Linked DNA regions of Ovis aries. The protein of the gene in region 1 interacts with the protein of each later gene in a pairwise test. Links are inferred from orthologs where the notes say so. Each region holds a gene or a part of one and is shown in the gene's direction. Other genes may lie near its edges.

Evidence for each region.
Region 2: the proteins of ZGPAT (region 1) and LZTS2 interact in binary tests that used the Homo sapiens proteins (3 or more experiments, as listed by UniProt). The two-hybrid records come from large-scale screens. The link is inferred for Ovis aries from reciprocal best matches to the Homo sapiens genes ZGPAT and LZTS2.
Region 3: the proteins of ZGPAT (region 1) and SSX2IP interact in binary tests that used the Homo sapiens proteins (3 or more experiments, as listed by UniProt). The two-hybrid records come from large-scale screens. The link is inferred for Ovis aries from reciprocal best matches to the Homo sapiens genes ZGPAT and SSX2IP.
Region 4: the proteins of ZGPAT (region 1) and ZBTB8A interact in binary tests that used the Homo sapiens proteins (3 or more experiments, as listed by UniProt). The two-hybrid records come from large-scale screens. The link is inferred for Ovis aries from reciprocal best matches to the Homo sapiens genes ZGPAT and ZBTB8A.
Region 5: the proteins of ZGPAT (region 1) and BEND5 interact in binary tests that used the Homo sapiens proteins (3 or more experiments, as listed by UniProt). The two-hybrid records come from large-scale screens. The link is inferred for Ovis aries from reciprocal best matches to the Homo sapiens genes ZGPAT and BEND5.
Region 6: the proteins of ZGPAT (region 1) and CDR2 interact in binary tests that used the Homo sapiens proteins (3 or more experiments, as listed by UniProt). The two-hybrid records come from large-scale screens. The link is inferred for Ovis aries from reciprocal best matches to the Homo sapiens genes ZGPAT and CDR2.
Region 7: the proteins of ZGPAT (region 1) and CCNDBP1 interact in binary tests that used the Homo sapiens proteins (3 or more experiments, as listed by UniProt). The two-hybrid records come from large-scale screens. The link is inferred for Ovis aries from reciprocal best matches to the Homo sapiens genes ZGPAT and CCNDBP1.

What each region holds. Positions count from the first base shown.
Region 1 is NC_056066.1:53,744,868-53,749,070, reverse strand, and holds the start of ZGPAT (zinc finger CCCH-type with G patch domain-containing protein), read left to right. Parts: upstream 1-1,403; coding exon 1,404-1,990; intron 1,991-4,203. Other genes in the region: ARFRP1 (ADP-ribosylation factor-related protein 1), read right to left, coding at 110-202. UniProt on the Homo sapiens protein: Transcription repressor that specifically binds the 5'-GGAG[GA]A[GA]A-3' consensus sequence. Represses transcription by recruiting the chromatin multiprotein complex NuRD to target promoters.
Region 2 is NC_056075.1:21,595,350-21,599,584, forward strand, and holds the start of LZTS2 (leucine zipper putative tumor suppressor 2), read left to right. Parts: upstream 1-1,435; 5' UTR 1,436-1,535; exon of another isoform or gene 1,536-1,805; intron 1,806-2,028; exon of another isoform or gene 2,029-3,834; intron 3,835-4,209; exon of another isoform or gene 4,210-4,235. UniProt on the Homo sapiens protein: Negative regulator of katanin-mediated microtubule severing and release from the centrosome. Required for central spindle formation and the completion of cytokinesis.
Region 3 is NC_056054.1:61,693,323-61,696,822, reverse strand, and holds part of SSX2IP (afadin- and alpha-actinin-binding protein), read left to right. Parts: intron 1-1,393; coding exon 1,394-1,504; intron 1,505-3,091; coding exon 3,092-3,227; intron 3,228-3,500. UniProt on the Homo sapiens protein: Belongs to an adhesion system, which plays a role in the organization of homotypic, interneuronal and heterotypic cell-cell adherens junctions (AJs).
Region 4 is NC_056055.1:235,011,042-235,014,541, reverse strand, and holds part of ZBTB8A (zinc finger and BTB domain-containing protein 8A), read left to right. Parts: intron 1-1,137; coding exon 1,138-1,470; 3' UTR 1,471-3,500. UniProt on the Homo sapiens protein: May be involved in transcriptional regulation.
Region 5 is NC_056054.1:23,286,363-23,289,862, reverse strand, and holds part of BEND5 (BEN domain-containing protein 5), read left to right. Parts: intron 1-1,082; 5' UTR 1,083-1,113; coding exon 1,114-1,280; intron 1,281-1,730; coding exon 1,731-1,840; intron 1,841-3,500. UniProt on the Homo sapiens protein: Acts as a transcriptional repressor.
Region 6 is NC_056077.1:20,559,589-20,561,984, reverse strand, and holds part of CDR2 (cerebellar degeneration-related protein 2), read left to right. Parts: intron 1-721; coding exon 722-870; intron 871-1,127; coding exon 1,128-1,292; intron 1,293-2,359; coding exon 2,360-2,396.
Region 7 is NC_056060.1:36,643,523-36,646,968, forward strand, and holds part of CCNDBP1 (cyclin-D1-binding protein 1), read left to right. Parts: intron 1-584; coding exon 585-681; intron 682-855; coding exon 856-926; intron 927-1,505; coding exon 1,506-1,582; intron 1,583-1,935; coding exon 1,936-2,216; intron 2,217-3,446. UniProt on the Homo sapiens protein: May negatively regulate cell cycle progression. May act at least in part via inhibition of the cyclin-D1/CDK4 complex, thereby preventing phosphorylation of RB1 and blocking E2F-dependent transcription.

The sequences.
Region 1 (4,203 bases):
TGACCTTAAGCAGGGTTCAGAGCCTGCCGGGGTGGAGAACACGCAGCTAAAAAAAACACCGAAAGGACTGTGGGGGTGGGGGATGGCGCTGACACGGAGCCACACTCACCGTCTTCCCGGCGTTGTCCAGACCCAGGATCAGGACGCAGTACTCGTCCTTCTGGAACATGTACTTGTATAGGCCCGACAGCAGCGTGTACATCCTGCCCTGGGCACCCGAGATCGGTCACGGACGAGACGGCCCGCACCGTGGACAGAGGGTCCCGCTGCCCGCACGGCCGCTCACAGCTGGAGCCCAGGGCCCTCCTGGCTCTGCCTCCCCTCCCTTCCCCTCCGCCCGCCTTCGCCTCCGCAACTGCTACAGAATCGCCCCGGCGCTCCAGGTGCCCACACGCCCTCTCCGGCCCGGCCAGGGCGCTCTGTTCGCAGGCAGAGGGCAGCCTGCCCCGCCCCGCTTCTCGCTGCTCCCCCGCCCGGGCTCCCTTCAGGCTTTGCTCCCCTCGGGTCTCCTTAACCAACGCCCCCTTCGCTCGCGGCCCGCCGCGAACGCCTCTCAGAGGCGGGGCGTCTGAGGGCTGGTGACTGCCCAGAGCAGTCGTGAGGCGGGCGGGCGGCGCGGACAGACTGCGGACCGGTCGCCGAGCCTGGGCCCAGCTCCACCCACCCGCCTCGATGTACCTGCGACCGTCCGGCCGGACCGCCGAGCCGCAGAGCAGGGGAACCGCCTTGCGCCTGACCCACCGACCCGGCGCTAAACCCGCGCGGCGCCTGACGGGACAGGCGCCGGTCGGCCGAGGAGGGGGCGGAGCCTTCCCGGCAGCCCCCGCGCCAGACACTTCCGCCGGCGGCGGTGCTCGGGCGGAAGCGCCTGTGGGCTGCAAGGGCGGAAGTGGGGCGCCGGACGGCTTTGGCCGGTGAGGCCGGCTGGCCGTCTGTGGCGGCGGCCGGGAAACCGCTCGGAGGAGGGCCTGGCCGGGGCGAGGGGGTCTGGGCAACGGGGCCTTGGCCCGAGGTTGCTGGCCGAGCGGAGACGGGCGGCGCGAGGCCGCAGAGGTGGGCCCGGCGGGGGACACAAGACTTGGACGCATAGACCCCGGAAGAGCTTGAAGGCAGCTCCCGGGAAGGGAATCGAGGCCGTGGGGCTAGTGGCCAAGGGCCAGCTTTGGCTCCTCCTCTCGGAGCTTGAAATATCTCCACGTCCAAACGAAGAGACTGCTGTTCACGGTTCCGCAGGCTGACCACCGAGGGTTGCAGTCGGCCAACGCTCAGTGTCGGCGTTGTGGGGGCCGTCTGTCCCAGACTCATCTGGCTTCTCTTCTCCGCAGCTCTGGCTCCCACGCCTCCCCTCTGAGGACCCAGGGACCCAGCCCCGCAGGCGCGGGAAATCGGCCCCTCCCGCCAGGATGGACGAGGAGAGCCTGCAGACCGCCCTCCGGACCTACGACGCGCAGCTGCAGCAGGTGGAGCTGGCCCTGGGCGCTGGCCTGGATCCCTCGGAACTGGCCGACCTGCGCCAGCTGCAGGGAGACCTGAAGGAGCTGATCGAGCTCACTGAGGCCAGCCTGGTGTCTATCAGGAAGAGCAAGCTGCTGGCGGCGCTGGATGGAGAGCGCCCAGTCCAGGAGGATGCTGAGCCTTTGGCTTTCCAAAATGCCATCGTGGAGACGGCGGAGGTGCCAGTAGCCCCCGGGGCAGAACTGGAGACTGTTCCTTCGAGAGAGACTGGGCCAGGACCCACGGAGCCTGGGCAGGAGGAGGACGACGGGGAGGACGAGGAGGGCGGGGCAGCACTGAGTGGAAGAAAGGTGAACGCCCCCTACTACAGTGCCTGGGGCACCCTGGAGTATCACAACGCCATGGTAGTGGGCACCGAGGAGGCGGACGACGGCTCCCCGGGCGTGCGCGTACTCTATCTCTACCCCACTCACAAGTCCCTGAAGCCCTGCCCGTTCTTCCTGGAGGGGAAGTGCCGCTTCCAGGAAAACTGCAGGTAAGGCTTGAGTTCTCTAGGCCACTAGCAGGGGGCGGGGGGGGGGGGGGGGGGGGGGGGGGGAGAGGGCCGCGGGGACTTGCGGACAGAACCTTTGCAGTTCTTTGCAGTTTTGTTTTTCTTGGCCGAGCAAAATGCTGAGAAGAAGAGAACTTTATAGAGGCAGGGGGTTCTTCTAGCAGTATCCTTCATTAGGGGGTCTTCTTGACTTTTCCCCAGGTATGTCAGGAGTACAGAAGGGTTTATGTTGAAAAGAATGGAGCCCTCCCCCCCCCCCCCCCCCGCCGCCTTTCCGTGACCTGTCCTATGCTTCAAAGTGAAACTTCTAAAATTTACTTATATTTTAGATATTTTATTAGAGAAGTGGTCAAACACCCAGGTAACTAGGGAGAGTAGCATAGAGACTGCTCACATGTCATGGTAGGTCAATGTTTTGCTGCTCTTGTATTCTCTGTTCCTGCCCCTGGAGTATTTTAAAGCAGGTTGTAGGACTTACTGGGCATTTTGCCTGTAAGTACTTCAGGATGCCGGCTTAACCTAAGTGACAAGGATGTTAAGTTAAAAATTACCTCCGTGTCACTCTCACACCTCACCAACTTAACAGCAAGACCTTGTTCGTATTTAATCACGAATGTAATGATGTTGTGTTTTCCTTATGTACATTATGTTTAATTTTGCTTCTTTTTCCTTTCCAAGGAATATTTCCTGAGATTTCTAGTAGATGATTTTCTTCTTTAATCAGTAGTCCAGGGTAACTATTCAATATCTTCAGTTGTTTGGTTATCTTATTTCTTTACAGATTTTTGCTGGGCCCAGAGTCTTATTTGGTGCGGTTCCCCTTTTTTTCCTTTTTCCTCATGAGTTTTGTGAAAAGTGTAGTGTACATACAGGAAAGTGCATGAATCAGTCATAAGCCTCCTTGAGCTTCCACAGGGTGGGTGCTGCCTTGTCCCCCAGCAGAGAGTTAAGGATCAGAGCAGGGAGCCCTCCATCCTTCCTGCCATGGTCCCTCTGGAGGGTTCCTCCCCGTCCCTGTGCCACGTCCATGTGGGGATGAGAACTGACGTATTCATGTGCTGCTTCCTCTGGGCAGCACTGTTCCAGGGGTTTCACGTGTATTCACTCACCTGGCAGCAAGCCTGCCAGGTAGGCCCTACAGCTGCTGTGGTTGCTGGACCCCCGAGGGGCAGTCCGGCTCTGAAATGCTGCTGCCTGCTGTCAGCTTCAGGCCTGACCCATGCAGCCCACCCACCCCACCACCACCCAGGTGTAACAGTTATTTTGTTGCTTTTACTTTGGATTTTTAGTTTAAAAATTTACTTATTTAAAATTTTATTGTAAAGATAAAGTAGTGTTGAAGCACCCTGGGACCTGCTTTCTATCCTCCCCTCCTGGGAGGCTTGCCACAACTATGATGAGCATCTCTCTAGCGTGTGAATCCTTTACAGGCACGTGTGTCTGTGAACAGAATATTCTTGTGCTTTATTTTCTAATTAAACTATGTTGTACAGCCTGCTTTGTTTTGCAACTTGCTCTTCTCACTGAGCGTGTCTGGGAGAGAAGTTTACATAGATATTTATAGGACTGTTTTGTGCATTTTAACTACTATTATTTTTCCTCATTCATATGCCACAGTTTATTTTGTCTCCTGGTGTTTACCAGTTTTTATTTACTAAAAAGAACACACTGAAAATCCTAGTACACATCTTTTGTCTCTGTTGGGAATGTCCCCAGTGTGGATGGCATGAGCATTTTCTTTCCTTGCGCGCTGTCTGCTTCTAAGCCCCTGGTCTGCTCTGTCGTGGTCACCCTAGTCACTCTTGGTCACGTTCTCTAACTTGGGGATTCGTACCTACTGAAGTGAAGAGGTGGTCTTGATTGAACTTGTATTTCCTCGATTATTAGGAAGATTGCATATTTTTTCATACGTTGTTCTAACTTTATCGCTCTGTGTTTCAGTATCCTTTTCCATAAAAAGGAGAGGAGCATGTCTTTTGCAGTTGTTGAGAGGCTGGAATGCATTAATATGCATAAAAAAACAGTACCTAACATGGAATAAGGACACAGTGGACTTAAAATTTTTATCTTGTTGTGAGAAAGGTCAAATCCAGAAAGTAAAGACAGCACAAGGGATCACTGTAACACTCAAGTACTCAGCTGAAAACTACAAAGCTGCCGGTTACTCTGGGGTCCTCTGTGCCTCAGCCCAAACA
Region 2 (4,235 bases), on another chromosome or scaffold:
AGGGAAGGGGGACCTCCTCCAGGGCCTCCCTTCTTGGGGGTCTCTCCCAGACTGGCTGGAGCCAGTCCTCCTAATCCTGCAGTAATCATTCCCAGCCGCTGGCTGGTCTAGGCCTCATCCAGGGTCTATAACGTTAAACGTCAGCCATGCCTTCCAGATGCACACTACCAGGTCAGTCCTACCTGTAAGGATGTGGGTTCCACATTCTGGTCTTCTGTGCTCAGGAAATCTTTCAGGGATTTCCAAAAGGAGACTTTTATGAGGTCTATGAATTGGGGATAGAGGGATAGATACACACTTGCCTGTCTTGCCCCACCCTTCTAGCAGACAGCCTACACAGCAAACCAGAATGGTAGGGAGGAGGGGAAGCTAATGATCCCCCAGCCCCACCCCTACACACACACACACATTCCATTACACACCTGTCTTAAACCCCTCACGTGAAAATTAGCCCAAAGTATTTCAAGAGCCCCTGGAGCCCAAAAAGTAGCAGTTAATCCCTGGGTCCTATGTAAGGTCCCTAGGAGTCACTGTTTCTATACCCCACCTAAGAGGATTGAGGCAAACTGCCTGGGCTAGAACCAGTACTCGGCCTGTGCCCAACTGGAATCTTCCTGAGAGCTGAGGGAGAGCCTGGCCCAGTAGAATCCAGCTGGATCTGCAGGCTTGTCCTCAGATTCTCTAACCCCCTTGCCTGTAAGGGGGCAGCTTTGGTCCTCCATCCCTTCACTGGGGATGGGTCTCAGAAGAGACTCAACTCAAAGGGCTCCTGCTGCCCAAGTACTCAGGCTGCAGATATGACCCAAATACCTGTAGACATCACGGTCTGCCCTCCCACAGGCTGCCTTGGGTGCCATGGAGGGAGGGACCCTTTGGTGCAATACAGGTCAACTTCCTGTTTGTGCCTGTGGGTGGAACTTTATAAGTCTAAGAGAAGCCTGACTACACTCTGGTGGGGGGCGGGGGGCAAAACTGGCAAGCCTGCTCACCGGGCAGACACCTACTCCAGGGGAGGGGGAGGTGTTGGTTCTGCTTGAGCAGCCCCAACCTCAGAGGTGTGTGAGGAAGGGTGGGGTCTGTTTCGGTGAAATCCGAGCCTTCTTCGTCTGCTTCCCAGGGGTTTTCCCTGTGTCTGGGGAGTGGGCTGAGAGTGGACCAGGCTGGGCTCCCTACAGACCAGAGGATAGTGGCAGTAAAGCCCTATAGCCAACTTGGTTAGGGCAGCCAGGTAGCTTAGCTTAGCTGTGGCGCCGCTGGCCCCTTCCTAGATCGAAAGCCAGTTCCAGAAGCTGCGAAGTCAGAAGTCCGAGGGGCAGTCTTGGGCCACCGTCGCAACACTGCTTGGCAGGGTACCAGATCTGCTGCTGAGGGGGTGCTGGGCAGACCACTCCCCTGCCTTGGTCGGGGGCGCGGCCTCAGCCGCCCCGCCCCCTCCACCAAGCCCGGGCCGAGCGCGCTGGGGAGCCGGCGGATCTGCGACCAGGAGGTGCCGGCCCTGGGTCAGGAGCCCAGCGGGAGCTGGAACGGCGGTTAAGGTAGCGCTGGGTGAGTGAGTGGGGGCGCCGCGGCGGTGTAGGAACTCTCGCCTCCTGCACACCCCCGCCCCGGAGTGAAATTTCCCGATCCCGGGAAGCCGGGGATTGGGGTGAAGAGACGGGTCCTCAGTCCAGGGGCCGCGGGCGAAGAGTCTGAACAGGGAACCTACACGAAAACTCACACCGACGGGCGCACACACGCGTGCACACAGACCCACGCGCGTACTGGAGACACCTGAATACACGTGCACTGCGGGGCGGACGCGCCTAGTGAGTTTCGCTTGCTGTTGGCGGATCAGCGCCGCTGGCCCGCGCGGACCCCCAGCGGGCAGGGTGTGCTGCCGTCGCGTACTTGGTGAGGGTGGGAGAAAAGGGCCTCCCAGTGACCGCGGACGGGGGCGGGCCAGGTGGGACGCCTCCGGAGGTTCCGGCTTCCTTGCTGCCCGCAGGTGAAGACTAAGACGTAAACAGGCGTTGAGCACGTGATCGCTTCGCAGACCCGTGGGCTGTACGGGGGGAGCCTCGCGGCGGGAACCTCCCTCCGCAGTACTAAGCGAGTTTGAAAGATACATTGCCGGGCTGTATTCCATTCTCCCCTTGGAGGGGATAAGCCCTTCCCCAGGAATGGGAGCACAACGCCCCCCGGAGTTGGGGTAGCGAAGGAGGACAACAGACTGTTGGACTGAGAGGGTTGGTTACCTGGGCTCCTCACCTTCCTTCTCCGGAACATGTTGCCCCCATTCCTGAAGATACCCGAGAGGGGGGCAATTCTGGCAGTGTACAGCAGCCTCCGCCGGGACCTCCAGCCCCGGGGAGCATCTGCGCGAACGCCTGTGGGTCCCCTTTCTTACTACACTCCTCCTTGCGGCACTGGGAGCTCCTCCCCTCAAAGTAGGAGCAGAAAGCCCACTCACGCAAGAGTAGGAGTCCCCCTTCCCCAGAGAATGCATGACCGTACACATCCTCTCTATACCAGAGTGGGCCCGTCTCCCTCTGGTAGAAGGGAGCACGGCCCCCTCCCCCCAGCGAATGAGAGTGGGCAGCGGCCCTCGGCCTCCCTCTCCACCACCCTCCCTACCCCTCCACACACGCTGAGCCCAGCTGCTGCCTGAGCTTCTGGGCAGGCTGCCAGAAAGGGGAGGAGGCTCCTGGTGCCCCAGGAGGCTGGGATCAGGGCAAGGCCAGAAGAGGGGGTCTCTATGGGGGTGGGGCTCAGTCTGTACTTGTGAGGCAAGAGGGTCTAGGGTGAGCCTGAGGGTGGCTGGGCTATGTTTCCCTTTCCAGGGAAAAAGAAAGAAAACAACTCTTTCCATGGAGCTAAAAATAGAACTGAGAGCCGGCCAGGCTGCGGCCTGGAAGGGGGGGGCGGGGCGGGGGGAATGCTCCTTCCTGGGGCAGAGGAGCTCTGGCAGGCCTTAGTTCTGGGGGGCGGGGTTAGGGGGCAGGAGGCTGTCCTTGCCCAGGGATGCGGGCATCAGCTGACCTGGTTAGGTCACAGAAACCCCTATGGGAAAGTCTGTGTGATAAAATGTTTGTGAAATACGACGTGTATGTTTAAAAAGTTGTCTTTGTGACTGTGAAAAAGACTGTCATAGTGTGAAAAAAGCTTGGGAGGCAAGTATAGTCAAGACTGTGACTGGGTGCAAAGGAACTTGAGCTGTGAAAGCTTGTGCACAACTAGCCGTGATACCAAGTGTGTATCTCTGAGTTGGCCTGATTATGGCAAGAAGGGACATGGATCCTTCTGATGGACCAGACAGACTGAGTGATTGTGTCTGAGACTGAGTGTGGGAAAGGTCGTGTGGGTGTTTAGATTGTGTTGTTTGCCAGAGGGTGAGAGTATTCTTGACCCTGAGAAGACAGTGGAACGTTGTCTGCTGTGAGGCTGGCGTAAGCTTGGCCTGTAGGTTTGGACCAGCTCCCCCACTGGGGTGACTTTTGGGGGCCCAGGGGACGTCTCTCTCTTGAGCATTTACCTCTTAGCAAATGAGTCTGAGGGAAGGTTGGGGAGCAAAGAACCGCGCTCGAGGAAGGCCGGGGCTCTCCCGAGAGGGAGTACAGCACTGGGGAGAAGGGTAGGGGCCCCCCAAGTTTGGGGGTGGCTGTGTTCTCCGAACGGGCCGCCAGGTGGCGCCGCCTCCGCAAATCCTAGCGTGCCTTCTGCAAGCGGCTGGGGGTGGGGCAGGCACCCACCAAGCGTCGGCCCCCGACTTGTGCCAGGACGCAGGGCCAAGACTTGGGGGTTAGGTGACCCCCAACCTCCTTCTCTGGACTCTGAAGCCGGAGAGTGTGCCTAGGGGTGAGGCATCGACTAGAGGAGCGGAGGGGGAAGGGCGGCTGCCGCGGCGCCTGGCCCTTTGTGCTCGAACAATGACCAGCTGCCGCTGGCCCCGGGGCCCAAGTAAGGGTAAAGGGTGACCCGCCACCGCCTAGTCCTGAACCGACCGAGCCCCAGACACACAGCCATCGCTCCTCGGAGGGAGGGAATCTGAGTCCTGCTGCGTAGCTCCAGCGTGCGCCCCGCCGGACACGCGTGACGCCGGGTGCCTGCGCGTGTCCGCGCCCCGGGGGCGGGGTCACCCCTCGGACCCTCCCCCGCGCTGCACCGCCCACTTGGGCCGGGCGGGGGCCAGGCCGGGCTGGGGGCGCCGCGGAGGCGGGGCCGGGTCGGACCGGGCCGCTCCGAGTGGCGGCGCGCGG
Region 3 (3,500 bases), on another chromosome or scaffold:
GTTGGTTGAAGAGATTAGAGGAGGAGGTGTAGAAGATAGAGAAATGGAGGAAAAGGCTCAGGAAGCCTGGTGAAAAGGTCATCTCTTAGCAGTCCTTAGCAATCGCTCGGTCCAGAGGTGTTGGGGCTTGAACTGAGAAAGTGCCAGTGAAGAGAGTAAGACTGAGACGTGAGGAAAACTCAAGAAGTAGAATGAGTAGAATTTTATGAAAAATTGAATTTGGGGAAAAGAGAGTCATGAGTTAAAGATACTGTTCAGGTCTCTGATTTGAATTTACTGATGATGGCGGTATGATTCACTGGGATAAGAAATAGATTTGCAGAGAAGATGGTAAGTTCATGTAAAGTGTGGATGACTCTGAGAGAATCTGATTTGATGTGTGTGGGATATGTCAGCTGGCCCAGTGCCAGATGGTCTGGCATGATAGGAAGTTGTAAGCATGATAGGAAATTTTGGCAACCTTGTAGCTATCTAAGCTTTATTCTTAAATTTTTCTTGAGGTCCATTGTTCCAGAGATCATACAAGTTGTTTGTGGTTAGTTGTGACATCACTTGAGTGCCTTTTATATTTTATAAATATTAGAGGATTAAAAAAATATTCTAGCAGCTTCATGCATACTTTGGTACAGTTCCTCTGGAAATGTGTGAAATGAATTGCAAGTGAACATCCAGGGCTTCACTGGTGGCTCAGACGGTAAAGAATCCCCCTGCAATGTGGGAGGCCCAGGTTCAATCCCTGGGTCGAGAAGATCCCCTGAAGAAGGAGATGGCAACTCGCTTCAGTACTCTTGCCGGGAAAATCCCATGGATGGAGGAGCCTGGCAGGCTACAGTCTATGGGGTCACACTGTGTGGCTAACACACACACATTTTAATCCCATATTGATTCTGGCAATGCTGCCATTGCCCTTAGGGAAAGGTTTTGAGAGACTTTACTGTTTGCAAGGCAGGACTGATATGCTGCAGTCCCACCTTTTCTGACCTGGAGTGTTTTTCTTTGCATAGTCACCTGTCTTTAGACTTAGCTCCAAATCATTTCTGGATCTTTCTTAAGAGTGTGTCATAGAAGTGTTAAAAAGTATTAAAAGGAAATTATGAAAATGTTCAGTGGCAATATCACTGAAATAGGTGAAGGGCCTTTTGAAGGATCCACTTTGAAGGTCTTTTGCATTTATATTAAAATTGGTATTTAAATTAAAATTTGCTATCCAAATTTAAAATTTGTAACTATAGTATCAAGCTTTATAATTGTTTTAAATATTTTGTGTGCTGCTAAACTTCAATTTTGGGTAACAAATCCTAGGGCATGTAACTTGTTTTTACTAATCTTTTAAGGATTCAGTTGCTCTGAATCCAGTGTTAATTTTAGTCAAAATTGCATACGAATGTTTTAGGAACAACTGGAAACCTCCAGGAGAGAAATGATTGGTCTTCAGGAAAGAGACAGACAATTACAGTGCAAGAATAGGAATTTGCATCAGCTACTGAAAAATGAGAAAGATGAGGTGAGTTGTCAGTTGTTGCAGATAAAGTTGAAGTGAATTTTTTGTTGTTTGTAATTTGAGGTGACTGTAACGGTCACTTAACTTTATAACAAGAAAACCGTTTGTTCATCCTGTATCAGATTGGTATGGCAGACCTCTGTGTGTATAGTGTTGCATCGTACTCAGCTGAGAGGTCAGGAACCCTCTCTAGCTCCCTCTCCCCTAGGGGCTTATCTGGCTTAGTGTGTCAGTGCGCAGCTTGTGACATCCAGTGTTCTGTACCATCCATCCTGGGCTCAACACGCACGCCACTTTTTGTCAGACACAGGGGTGCTTTAAATGCACATCTTTTATTCTCTGTCATACCTTTACTTGTATCTTGAATGCTTCTTCCTGAACTATCTGAAATATTGACATTGTCCATCTAGTGAGACAATTACTTGACTAAATGAACACACGAGTTACTGTTTGAAAAAAGCAATTCACATTAGAAATCTAATTTCTAGGCTGAAGACATTATAATTCTAATCTCATTTTTGCCTTATTGATTACTTGGTATTTGGACCTGTAGAACTAATAATGCATTTGAAATTATCTTTGAATTTATATAAGAAGAAATCACTAGGTTTTTACTGCTCTGTGGTTTGGTTTCTGACCACGTGATCACTGTAAAAGCAGAACATTTTCAGTGTTGTATATGTTACTTTGATGATAATTAGACTTTTAAGGGAGCATATTTCTTGAAGAACCTTACAGTGATTTAGACAAGTTTGTTTTGGCATGTTTGATTATGTAGTAGTATATTTAGTAATTGGATAATGAAGTATCTTACCTAAACCACAAGGTTATGTATACTTTTCCTTGAGTTATTTCACGGAAAATTTTGACTTACTCTGTTGATTATACTTGAAATGGTTTGACTATCGTTTTTCTTTCGTAAGGACTAAGTTAAACATGATCATCTCTAGTAGAGATAAAGAATGTCTTTAAAGAACTTACTTCCCATCCAGGGCTGCCTAAGCAGTCGTAGCAGATACGAACATTGACCAGTAGTGCTTGGCATATAATATGTACTTAGCAAATGTCTGAACCAGATTCTGTCTGCTGTTTGCCTCACTCTAATTTGAGAACTGTTTTTGATGAGAGAAAAGCAAACCTGTTTATCTGCTGCCACATGCCATGACTAATTGGGCTTGTCACAGATTGAGAAAGAATAAAATGATTCAAGTCAGTGGTAAAAGGAAGTCCTTACAAATGATCTACTTGTTTCAAATGAAGCTTTAATCACATTAATACTTCCATAAGCGTTTGTGGTTTCTAAATGATCAGAATCTATATACCTAGGGTGAAAGGTGTAGAAGATAATTTAGAGAGTTATAAGCTCTGGAAATTTCAGAATTAAAAAATAAGCACTCTATGTGCTTTATTTAATGATGTTTTAAAGAGTGGTTTCCAGTGGCTATAGAGAAGGAAGAATAATCCTATAATTTTTAAACTATTCTGAGGAGCTAAATTCTAGGATGACTTCTCTCTCTTGAATTTGTAAATTTTAACTGAGTTTACCCATCCAAAAGGGACTCATTTAATAGAAAATGCTTTTTTTTTTAGGTGCAGAAATTACAAAATATCATTGCAAGTCGAGCTACTCAGTATAATCATGATATGAAGAGAAAAGAGCGTGAATATAATAAACTAAAGGAACGTTTACATCAACTTGTTATGAACAAGAAGGATAAAAAAATTGGTAAAAAGCAGCTGGCTAAGATAAAGGGAAATAAATTAGTATTACGCTAAGAAATGTAGAGGAATTGAGCTCAGTAATTCCTGAAGTGTCATTTTCATTCTTTATATAATTGATTGTAGATGGTATATATCCATATGAACTAGAAATTGAGACAACTGGTTACTTGAAAAATAGTGGTTTTGCTTTGCTACTTTAGTTGCATATAAGAATTGCATGTATTTTTTTTACCGTGACAGATGTAGGATTAATCCACAGAAGAAAGCTAAGCCAGAG
Region 4 (3,500 bases), on another chromosome or scaffold:
ATAATTTTTAGGCTAGAATCTATAATCTACTACTCGGATAGTTATTGAACAAAGTTATTTATTACTAACTATAATATATAATTATTCATCAATTATAACCTCTTCGCAAAGCATTTCACACATATTAACTCATTTGGTCCACACAAACTGAAGTGTATCCCTATTGGTAATAAGGGAGCGGTTGCGAATAGTAATAGACCAATATGTAGCAGAACCACCATCTTGGTTGTTTATAACTAGTATCCGTTCTGGTCATCAAGCTTCTATTCTGTTTGCGTGGTACCCATACCTTACCAGTTTCTAAATACTTTGACAGTCACCCTGGAGGCAGGTTTCTGTTTTAAATGACTTGCTTCACTATACATGGTTAGTAAATGACAAGATTAGAAAATAACAGAAGCAGAGAGACCAGTCTTCTTTCTACAACATCTTTCATTAATAAAAGTGGCAATAATCCTTACATCAAAAAATATTCTTTTATAAATTTACATTTGGGACATTATTTTTTCTTCCTCAAGCAAAATAACAAAATAGTTTTTTCTCCTGAATTAAGATATGTAAAGTCCTTAGAATAGTATATGGCAGATATTAAGTGTTTACAATTATTATTCTGGAAATATGTCCCATGTTACCTCAGATATGGACTTCCCTGGTGGCTCAGATGGTAAAGCGTCTGTCTACAATGCGGGAGACCCGGGTTCGATCCCTGGGTTGGGAAGATCCCCTGGAGAAGGAAATGGCGATCCACTCTAGGACTATTGCCTGGAAAATCCCATGGGCAGAGGAGCCCGGTAGTCTACAGCCCATGAGGTCACAAAGAGTCGGACACAACTGAGCGACTTCACTTACCTCAGAAATAAAAATACTATTGGATTAAGGGATATGTGAAATTATTAAGTATGTAATATTAACCATGAAAACATAATAGACATAATTTAGAGAAAGCTAGTGTTTGATATTTCTGTGACATTACTTTATTACCAAAACCTGTGACCTTTTTCTAATAAACTAGATGTTAATTTAATATTAATGCTTGGCTTTGAACATGTTAAATTTATGAACTGGTACTTAGAATATCAAACTATTCTGCTTTTGAAAAATCTTTTTTTTTTAATCGCTATTTAATTCTCTACACAGATTCACCAGGCATGCAAACTTATCTGCAGAAAATGCAAGCGCCACGTGACTGACCTAACAGGCCAAGTGGTACAGGAAGGAACCAGGCGCTACAGACTCTGTAATGAGTGCCTTGCTGAAGTTGGCATAGACAGCCTCCCCATTGATCTGGAAGCTGAACAGCATCTTATGTCCCCATCAGATGGAGATAAGGATTCCAGATGGCACATGGGTGAAGATGAGAACAGATCGTACGTGGAGATAGTCGAGGATGGGTCTGCCGATCTGGTCATACAACAGGTGGATGATAGTGAAGAAGAAGAAGAAAAGGAAATAAAGCCCAACATCAGGTAGCTGGAATGTGAACCAACAGGGCCTGCAGCTTACACTGACGTTCATGTGTCACTCTCTTTCCACGGTCAGAGTCTAATCAACAAATTTTCAGATCAACTTAAAAGTAATGGCCTGACACCACTTGCATGCTTTCTGAACAGGCCATTGTATCCATTCTGAACTTTACTGCCCTAAAATCTGTTGCTGCACTAGAAAGAAAGACCTAGCTTGAGTTGACACGCTGGATGAACAATTTAATCCTCTTACTTTTATTGTGTTACAGAAATACCTTTTAAAAAAATATATTGAAAAATCTACTTAGGGAACTATTTTCAAAGAAAATATTTTCAATAAATTCACCACAACCAAACTTTATATAAAATAATTTCAAAGTATTTCACAAACATGTAAACTACCACTATTAAATTTTCGCAGGGAACTAGGTCAGAGCACATTTAAGGGTCTGGAAACCTACCTGACTTAACTAATTAGACTTTCTGTTAACTTTGGATCTAAAATGACCTATCATAATTCCAATATGCAAAGTGTTTTAGGATTATGGCAGAAGGCAAGTCTAAATGTTTGAAGTCATTCATATTTGAAATTTTTGTCATTAAATTAGAAGTTACTCTTATGTAGTCAGTATTTAAAAAAAAAAGAAGAAGCTGACCAGAGATTATATATAGACATCATTTTCTGAAAGCGGGAACCTAATATTGTCGACGTAGTTTTTGAAGATCGGTCAATATAGCTATCTTCCTCTCTAAAGAAAAAAAAGAGTGAAAACTGGAGGTTCTTACCAGTTCTTAAGAGTAATTTCCTACATATATATACTGCTTTATTATTTATAAAGTGCTCTTTCTTGCATTTCCCCACCTAATCAGCAAGGTAGATAGCACTGTCTCTAATGTACAAATAAGGAAATTAAGGTCAGAAAGTGTAAGTGGTGGGACCAGAGATTGGACAGGTTTTGATTTTAAATAGTCCTCTTTCAACTGTCTCTCCTTGAATTGTCAAACCTCACCAGTCTGCAATAATTATAAAAGAAGCCTATGAGAATGAGAACATATGAAAGAAGAAGAATTTAATCACCTTCGACAACATATAATACCTTGCACTAGAGCTATTCAAGAAGTGTCAAGCAATGTCCCTACAGTATCTATTGACATGTTTTTATGTTATTTATATGTAAAATTTATGTATAAAACTATTTGAACAAGTTATTCTCCTAAGTTCTTTAAACATCTTTGCTTATGTAATTTTTTAAAACAAACTTTTCTACTAGGATGCAAAATGAAGTTTTAACTCCTCCCCTACATAAATTATAAAACATTCCAAAATTACAGTCAAAGTGAAGAAGCATTATTTTAGTTGTAAAGATTAAATACTAGAAGTAAAAATTGTCCTTCATAGAAGTCTTGGCAAGTTATCCCAATTAAGCTTCTTTTAATTTAATTTTGATAGAGAGAGGCTCCATGTAGTACTCTGTATTTTTAACTGCCATGACATACCTCAATATAGTTTTTATATTATTATTTTCTCTTATTCTTTAATTAACGATTGTCCTTAACACCAATTTGTGGGCTAAAGTGGTTAATTTCTTTCATTTTTTTAAATTAATAGGTGATAACCACTTTGTTTTATGGTACTTAATTCTGATTTTTTTTTTTTCGAGATTGTCCTGATGGTAATTTCCAGTTGCTTCAAGACTGGATAGTGTGCGTTGCGTTTGTTATCTCCCAGTATGACCATTCCTGAATCAGGAGTCTTAACAATTAAACTGTTACACATGAGAGAGGAAACATAAGCATAATATGATTCTGAACCATTGGAGCCAATAAGAAAAATGACTGATTTGAGCTTTATTTATAGAAATGAAGTCATGCGTGCATGTGTATACTTTAACGCACTTTAGTCTATGACCTAAATGTTCTTTAATGCTACTATATTCTGCATGCAAACATCAGCATGAATGTCAGCAACGTCCACGGAACACAGTGCCACCAGCACTTGTAGAGCCTTATCAGAGATATGCTTTCTCATAATTGTTT
Region 5 (3,500 bases), on another chromosome or scaffold:
GCTGGTAGGCTGCAGTCCCTGGGGTCGCGAAAAGTCGGACACGACTGAGCGACTTCCCTTTCACTTTTCACTTTCATGCATTGGAGAAGGAAATGGCAACCCACTCCAGTGTTCTTGCCTGGAGAATCCCAGGGATGGGGGAGCCTGGTGGGCTGCCGTCTGTGGGGTCGCACAGAGTCGGACACGACTGAAGCGACTTAGCAGCAGCAGCAGAGGAAGGATCATACCTGTTCTTTGGAGTCCCAGAAGTAAAATTAGGTCCTGGAATTCATAGGAGTTGGTGGGAGGACTATAATAAGAGCAGGTGAACACTGCTTCCAACATGGTGATGAGCTCCCTGTCGGGGAAGGTGGACATTGCGGAATGAACTCCTGCCCTATGATAGGAGAATTGGTTAGAGGTACTCCTCTCCCAGGTCACTTCCTTAAGTATCAAGTAGGAAGTATTAGAGAGCTGAAAGAAGATAGGCTTTGAAATCAGGCGGTCTGGGTTCCAACTGTGACTCTGCTTACAAGCTGTGTGACCTTAGGGAGATTACGTCACTTCTCTGAGTTTTGGGTGCCCAAACAGAGAGAGTCGTGAGCTACTTACCCATTATATCATTGTGTTATTAGCAAAGTAACATGGAAGTTATCTGGCACATAGTAGGCACTCATTAAATGTAGGTAATTGATAAGGACTGTGATGGCTCAGCACTGTTGAAAGAACAGCTTGCTTAGTGTGGGTACTACCCTTTATGGTAGAAAGCAACGATTTAGAGGACCAAGGAGCAGACAGGGTTAAAATGTAACTTGTGTGTGTTGTAAATCCTCCTGGGGCTTGACTTTAGCATGAAAGCCTTCCCATCTCACCCCATGATTTTCCCGCCTGTGACCCTGTGGTGGGGCCACTTATTACCCTGGCAACAGCCTGGTAAAGCACATGAGGGTAGCTAGACAAATGAGTCAGCAGGTTGAAGGTTCCTGGTTTTGTCTGTGCCCTAACCCTGTACCCAGGCCTGGCAGGCTGTGATAGTGAGAGCCTGGAGACCTACCAAAACCAGGTTGTCAGTTCTTCTCTCCCTTTTTGGATGGACTCATCAGGACACTTCTTCAGACAAGCCCACCTGGAGGGATGGGATCATCTGCTCTTATCCAGCACTGCACGGAAGAGAAAGAGAAGTGGAACTCCCTGTGGCTGTCCAGTGGTCACACAGCTGGAAGTTCTCTTGAGTTTTCTAGTCCAGTCCCTGTTGTTTTACAGAAGAGAGAGCTGAAAGGAAGTGACCGGTCACCCGGAGAGTGAGTTACAAAGTCGTGCCTCAAACCCTTGTCTCTTGATTTCTTTCTGCTTTACCACAGCAGGGCACTCATCTTCTTGTTGTCTTGATTAGATACAGTCCTAAAAAGTTGGGAATTTTGTCTGCCTTGGATGATATAGAAACAGAGGCCAGAGAATGAGAGATACACATGCTTTTTTTGTGGCATGTCTGTTTCTGAAGCAAACATAGGCATTACAGGGTTTTTAGACTGTTGAAGAACTTGAAGCTGGCATGTAGATACTTTTTTTAAAATAAGACAAAGCCTGTGTGAAATGGGTTATGTTTAGCCTTTCAGAATTTCATCATAACCAACAAGCCCACACCATATTAAACTCTGACGTTTGAGTCTTTTAATTATCCAGCATGATTTTATGCAAAATGGAAATTAAGACAGTGCCTTTCCCATTGTAATTGTACTTTAATTCTCCAGGGGTCTCTTCACTTTTGAAGACAGACTTGCATGGGATTTCCTGTCTACCAGCCTGTTCTCTAAAACACTATTTGCTCATTACCATGCCTCCATTTTTTTTTTCAATAGTGGTAAGTTTCATGGGATGTTTCTCCCTCTTAGATGAATGACAGGCACCAAGTTCTTGTGTATTTCTGAAGAGCGGCTTCTACCACATTTTGTGGCTTTGAATAGGGGCTCTTTGGGGGGATTGTTTAGGGCTTGGTGGTCTTGAGAAGCTTGCAGTTCAGGAGGTTGGTGTTGAGTCACACTTGTGCTAAGTTGAGTTTGGGAATTTATCACAGCATTTTCCTGGATGCAGGCATGGGCTTAGGAAAAAGGCTGGCCCTTGGGAGATTATATTGATAAACTTGTCATTTTATATGTGCCTTTTAGTTCAGTTGAGGAAGTTACAAAACTTGGTAATATTTCCCCTGTTCCTATAGGATAATTAGGTAATAGAAATGGTCCAAGTGTCATGCAGACGTGACTGGAAATTCTAGTTTATGTCTTAGGCAAACCACCTCACTTTGAGCCTCATTTTCTGCTTCAAAAGAATCATCATGGGGATTAAATATATTGAAGTTAGTAAAGAATTTGGCATGGAGCCTGGTGCATAGTAGATGCTTACTCAATATTTGTTGAATAGATGAATGTGGTTAGCTAACACCACAGAAGCTAGAAAGGAGGATGAGATCGTTGATGCCCAAATCCTCGGTGGTTTTCTTGCCCTGGAAATGAAACAATCAGGAAGTCAGAGTCAAAGAAGATAGTCTCTTCAGAGGCTATATGTTTATTTCTGTTTGCACTAAAACTGATTATTGGGTCTTAAGTTTGAAGTAGTTGCAAAGGTGGGTTGACTGTAGAGAGTTTTCTTCATCCCTTTGAGTCCATTGCTAATTTCTTCTGTTGTTTCCTGGAATGCAAAGCCAGACACAGACTCCAAAGCCATGTTAAAATGCCACATGAAGTCACCTGCTGTCTCAGATGATCCACACCATCGTTCACCTTCATTAATGTGACCAGTCAAGAGTTATAGCTTCTTGTCACCCTATGTTCAGTCTCCTCCTCACACCTCATCCATCTTGCTCACCACTGCCACATTAATCTTCCCGAAACATCTCCTTCATCATGTCCCAATCTGTGTTGGATGCCTGCAGTGGTTCTCTGTGCCAAAGGATAAAAGCCAAGCACATAACCCACAGAACAGCCTCATCGCTGCTATTCATTGAACATCTTGGACAAGAAAGGCACAGTGCTTGGTGTTTTATAAGCATCACCTTTTGGAAAACAGTTTATCATCCCGACCTTAGAAATAATGAAAGTGAGGCTCAGACAGATGAAGTAGCTTGCCCGAATTCCCATAGTCAGCAGGTAGCATAACCAGAGTTCCAAACCAGGACCACCTAATTCGAAAGACTAGGCAGCCTTTATTCAGTCCTGGGCCTCCCTCTCCCAACCAGTTCACCCACTTCTTACAGTGACACTGAGTGTTCCATAATCTGTGGGCTAGAATGGATGGGAGGCATCACTTTTAGCTCAGGGTGAGGATTAAGGAGACCTGGAGATGTGAGGTTTGTCCCACATGAGCCAGCATCTCTCTGAAAGTCAAGCCTTGTATTCTGGTTGAAATTCTTGGTACTTCCTGGGTTGTAAGGATCTGAAAGACACAGATCACTTAGCAGAATACTCAACCCAGAACAAGGGTCAATGAATGTCCACTGACCCCAGAAAAGGACAAGTGGGGGCCTT
Region 6 (2,396 bases), on another chromosome or scaffold:
AAAAGTAGACCAGCCTAAACTGTATTGGTGAGCTTTAGGGGAACTAAACATATAAAGGACGGCCTGTACTCAGCTCCTTTTAAGAAAAGTAGTTTAACTGAGATTTGAAGTTCTTCATTTCGTAAAATAAACTTGTGGTATTGTGGTATAATGAAAACTATATATTCGACCTTTGTCCCCATGTCCTGAATCCCTCGGAATTTCCTGAATGATAGAATGAGACTGCTCACCAGAGGAGCCGACCACATGATTAGAGGGTTAGAACTTTCAGCCCCGTTGCCAGCCTCTGCAGAGGGGTCAGGGACTGGAATCAAGTTTGTTCACCAGTGGCCCATGATTTAATTAATCATGCCTGTGCCATGAAGCTTCAGTAAAACTCTAAAAGGAGACCAAGAGGTTTCCAGGGAGGGTGGTGCATCTGAGAATAAAACTGTAAGTAAATCCCTTTCCCAAGCTCTGTGTGTTGTTTTAGCAGATTATTGAATGTGAGAGGAGGTCATGGGAATTCCCTAATTTATAGTTGTTTGGTTGAAAGGACGGGTGGTCCCTAGGACTTACCTCTGGTACCTGAATTGGGGGCAGTTTTGTGGAACTGAGCCCTTATCACTCCAGGTGGTGTCAGAATTGAAGTGAATTGCAGGATGCATTCTGTATTATACCTGGAATACTGCAGGTATCCCACATGTTTAATGTGTAACCTGGTCACAATTATCTCTTCCAGTATCTGACCAAGCAGGTGGAGCTTCTGCGGCAGATGAATGAACAGCATGCAAAGGTTTATGAGCAATTAGACGTCACAGCGAGGGAACTGGAAGAAACAAATCAAAAGCTCGTTGCTGACAGCAAGGCCTCACAGCAAAAGATTCTGAGGTAAATTCTTTAGAATCTGTTGAAGAAGCCCTAGGGGAAGTCATTTAGTATAAACTAGAATAGAACATGGCTGTAGTGGGTTCAGGTCAGTGTGGGGTAAGCTTTAATTTAATTCTCTATGGAGAATAGAGATTAAATAGAAGTCTTTTCCAATTACAAAAGCCCAGTTTGAGTGGTTGCCAACTAAGCTCTCCTCACTGCTTATGCCTTTAATTTAATATGACAAGCTGCAATTGGCTTCTGTCTGTTCCTCACAGTCTGACTGAAACGATTGAATGCCTGCAAATGAACATTGATCACCTCCAGAGCCAAGTGGAGGAGCTGAAATCATCCAGCCAAAGGAGAAGGAGCCAGGGGAGGCATGACCAGGAGAAATCGGCCCCCAGCTTCTCGTCTTTGAAAGAGCTGTATGACCTCCGCCAGTAAGAGCCCACCTTCCATTTGCAAGCAGGAGAACATCTCGTGTCATTGGCACATTCTGGATCCCAGTAGATTAAAAGTACCCTTTTAGGAAATGCCGCTTGGCTATTAGACCACCAGTGGTTTGAACAAAACCACTTAAACATACATGTGATAGTTTTTGTTGTTGTTGTTGTTGTTTAGTCCAATTGAAATTTCAGTAAAACAAAATCCAGGCAAACAGAAGGCTTTTTTTTTTTTTTTTTTTTTCCTGAAGAAAAGCCTTTTACAATTTAGACTTTGGAGATTGAATCTTCATTTAAGAACTATTTCTTGAACACCTGTGGTAAGGCAGGTGCTATGCCAGATGTGAGGAGTGGTGAGCAAAACAGACACAGTTTCTGCCCTCATGGAGCTTTCAGTCTCAGGAAGAGGCAGGTAGCAAATAAGTACAGTTACAAGTTGCCCAGGACTCTGACCAGGAGAGAGACCAGCTCGTGCATTTGGTGGGCCTCAACTTGACTGTTCAGATCGCCATCAGGCCTAATCAGAATCTCTAGGTATGAGTGAAAGGCTATTCAGGTGATTCTGATGTCTGTCTGTTCTTGGTTTAAAATCACCGCAGCAATGGTTCTCAGTCTTAGCTGCATATTATGAATCATAGGAAGAGCTTTAAAAAATACACACCCTCTAGTTCATGTGGCAGACCAGCTAGGTCAGCATCTGTGGGGGTGGGACCCAGGCGTCAGTATGTTTTAGGACTGCCCAGGTGATTCTAATCTGCAGCCAAGATTGAGCACCACTGGCTGTTCTGATCTCCTTGAACAGTCTCAGTCATACTACTGGTCTTTGGGAATGGATGTTCTATAGCATTTTTAATGTTTTAAAAAAAAATTAATTACACAAGATGTGTGTTCCTCCATGTGTTGTCAGCCTCACACATTCGTTTTAGCCGCTGCTCTAGGGTGGAATAGGCAAAAAATCAGTCATATCACAGCTCCTCAAAAATATGTAGTTGGAAAAAAATCATCAGCCTCCCTCTTTGCCTTCTCAGTCGGCCTGTGTAAGAGTCTTTCAATATTTCCCCCAGGCACTTCGTGTACGATCATGTGTTTGCCGAGAAGATC
Region 7 (3,446 bases), on another chromosome or scaffold:
TTACAATTAGAAATGAATACATGTCTCATGGATCTTCAGGGTTACTCATGTGGTTTAAACTTGAAGTGTTTTATCCACAAATGCCAGGAAATCACTGTTTTTAAAAATGTGTATTATTTTATTTATGTGGCTGTGCCAGGTCTTGGTTGCGGCAGGCGTGCTCTTCAGTCCTTGTTATGGCATGTAGGGTCTTTAGTTGCAGCATGTGAACTCTGAGTTGTGGCATGTAGGATCTAGTTCCCTGACCAGAGATTGAACCCTGGCCCCTGCATTGGCAGCGTAGAGTCTTAGCCACTGGACCACCAGGAAAGTCCCAAGAAACTACTTTTTAATGAATGAATATATGCTGTCATGGAACAGTTTTGTTTCAGATCTCTTTTGGAAAATACCACTAAGGAATGGTGGGAGGAGCAAGCAAATGACATGGGGATATACATAAGACCTGGGTTCTGTGTTGGCACTCTGGTTAAAGCATGTGGGTGCACATTACCTCAAATTCTGTAGGGCTTAGATTCTCAGGAAGACTTTCCAGACTTCTGGAAAGACAGACAGGCTGCTTAATTAGTCTTTGGGTCTGGCTATAGGCATCACCCTGCGAAAGCTGGTGCGGAGCGCCACTCTGGACATCGTGGATGACATGGCTCAGCTTGTGGAAGCACTTTACATCAATCCAGCTCAGAGGTAGTGATGCCACAGCTGGAGTTATTGGGTAATGGGGTTCTTTGTTTCTGGGAGGCGGGGGAAAGTCATTTTAACAGCAAAGTTACTGATAACTGAGATTAATGACCAGCAGGAAGGACCTTTGTAGGAAACAGGAACCCAGGTTATTGATACATCCTTATTGATTCGTTTCAGCAACCCTGAGAACCTGATTCCCTACAACAGTGTCTGGGATGCTTGCCAACATATACCTCAGATCCCAAAAGGTGAGTGAGAATAGAAAGTAGACATTGACTCTGCTGGCCAAAGCTGACAGACCTCACGTCCAGCTGCCAGTTTTGTAGTAGTATGTATTTTTACTTACGTAAAGAACTTAGTGAAATAGGTCTAGTTTATCACCAACATGAAAAGACAGGTATTAATTATTTTTGCCAGTCTTTTTAGTTCACGTAACTTCTAAATTCAAACACCCTCTGGCTGTGGCTCTGTCTGTTGTTGAACAGATGTGGTTTTCTCTTCCGGTCCTGCCCCAGGGGCAGTATTTTGGAGACACTGAAGCAGTTATGGGGTAGAGCCTGCTAGGCTAAGAGCAGTGGTCATCCAAGGGTGCCATGCTGAGAAACATCATGTGACTATTATATTTCTTCCTATGGTGAATGACAGGAAGCTTTTTAGCCCCGCTGTCTGGGCACCCAGAGGATGTATATGAGAAGAATTTTACATTCATTGCTGCCCTTGTTTACTGTCCTTGGCACTCCCTTCAGATGAGAACACTTGCTTTTTGCAGACTCGAGAATTGTTGGGATTCTCCACTAACTGCAGTGCTTCTCGTTCTTCACTCATAGATAACAAAGCTGCAGCCCTTTCAGTGCTGACAAAGAGTGTGGATCTTGTGAAGGATGCACATGAGGAGATGGAGCAGGTGAGAGGACCTCTTTCTTTGATGGTCATTGGAAGGCCTCTCTGTGTCTAGTAGATGAGGATTGGTTATAAAGAGAGAAGATATGTCAAGCGTGGACCACATGGGTCCCCCCTCACTCCCACCCTCCATCTCCCATCTCCCCCCCCCCCCCCCATGTGGGGGTGTGATTTGTACCATTCCTCTCTGTTCCATTGCTGCACTAGGAGAGTTAGAACAGCATGTGTGAGGTGATTCAGCTCTGTAGCCATTTAGAGAAATAGCTGGCTGAAGTCTGGGGACAACTCCGACATGATGCTAAAAGTATTATTACTTTTTTTTTTCCTGGCATGCACATATATCCTGTTGTATCTTAGGCTGTGGAAGAATGTGACCCTTACTGTGGCCTCTTGAATGACATTGAGGAGGACACCTCTGACAACCATGTTGATGAGGAGGATATATTGGGATGTCCAAACAATCGGGACTCATATTGGTCAGAGGGAGACCAGGAGCTCATAATCCCATGCCTTGCACTGGCGAGAGCATCCAAAGCCTGCCTGAAGAAAATTCGGCTCTCAGTGGCAGAGAACGGGAAGAAGGATCAGGTGGCCCAGCTGGATGACATTGTGGACATTTCTGATGAGATCAGCCCTAGGTAAGCGTGACCTCCACTCAAAACATCCCAGCAGCAGCATTCTGACCTCAACTTGTGCCGTCACCTCAAGGTTTTCCCCCATCTTTTTGTTTTGAAAGTTTTCAAACCTGCAGGAAAGGTTAAAAAGTATTGTAGCGAGTACCTGTACTTCCATCTAGGTTCACCTCTTGTTCACTTTTTTTTTTCTGTATTGGTTTATTTCTCTGTAATTAGATGTACCTTTTTAAAAACTGAAATAGATGTGCTATTTTCATCCCTGAACCATTTGTAAGTTGCAGACATCAGTGATGTTTTTCCCTGAATATTTCAGCATGTATTTCCTAAGAAAAAACAGTTTTACTCTTAGTATTACATTTAAGAAATTTACATTGAATATGTGTTTGTTTGTGATAGTCACTTAGTCATGTTTGACTCTTTGCAACCCCATGGACTGTAGCCTGCCAGGTTCCTCTGTCCATGGAATTCTCCAGGCAAGAATACTGGAGTGGTTTGCCATTCCCTGACGATAAAGATTATACTGAGTATAATAATATTATCTAATATTCAGATTTCCCAAATTGTCTCTAAAACGTCTTCTATAGCTTTGTTGTTTGTTTTTTGATTCAGGGTTCTGTCAAGGGGTCATACTGCATCTGGTTGTCTTTTCTTTGGTATCTTGCAACTAAAACAGTCCCTGTCCTTTTTTAGCTTTTTTTGTCATTGACATTAAAAAATTTTTTTTATTTTCTTGACATTCTTAAAGAATCCAAGTCAGTTACATTGTAAAATATCTAGCAATCTGGATTCATGTGGTTGTTTTCTCATAATTATGTTCAGGTTAAACATTTCGGCCAGAATATCGCTTGGTTGAGTGTTTCATGCTTTTCATTGCATCATGTCAGAGAGGCACGTGGTATTAGTTTGTCGTGTTTTTGGTGGTACAGCACTAACTTGATTGCTTGATTAAAGTGGTGCCTACTTTAATGGCATTCAGGGATGAACCCTGCCTATATCAGTTATTAAACTTATGGTTTCAGATCCAAACACTTTTAACTTAATTAATAATGTTCCATCCTACTGGCCAAGGGAGTTCCCCCCACCCTCAACTTCTTAGTAAAACAGAGTAGGTATGTGTTCCATAAATACAAGTTGAATTGGTTATTTATTGGTTGCCCAGTGTAAGGAACTGATGCATTTCTGGGAATTATTTCCTCACTCGTTGCATCCTTAGTTGTGTCCTGGAGACCACCT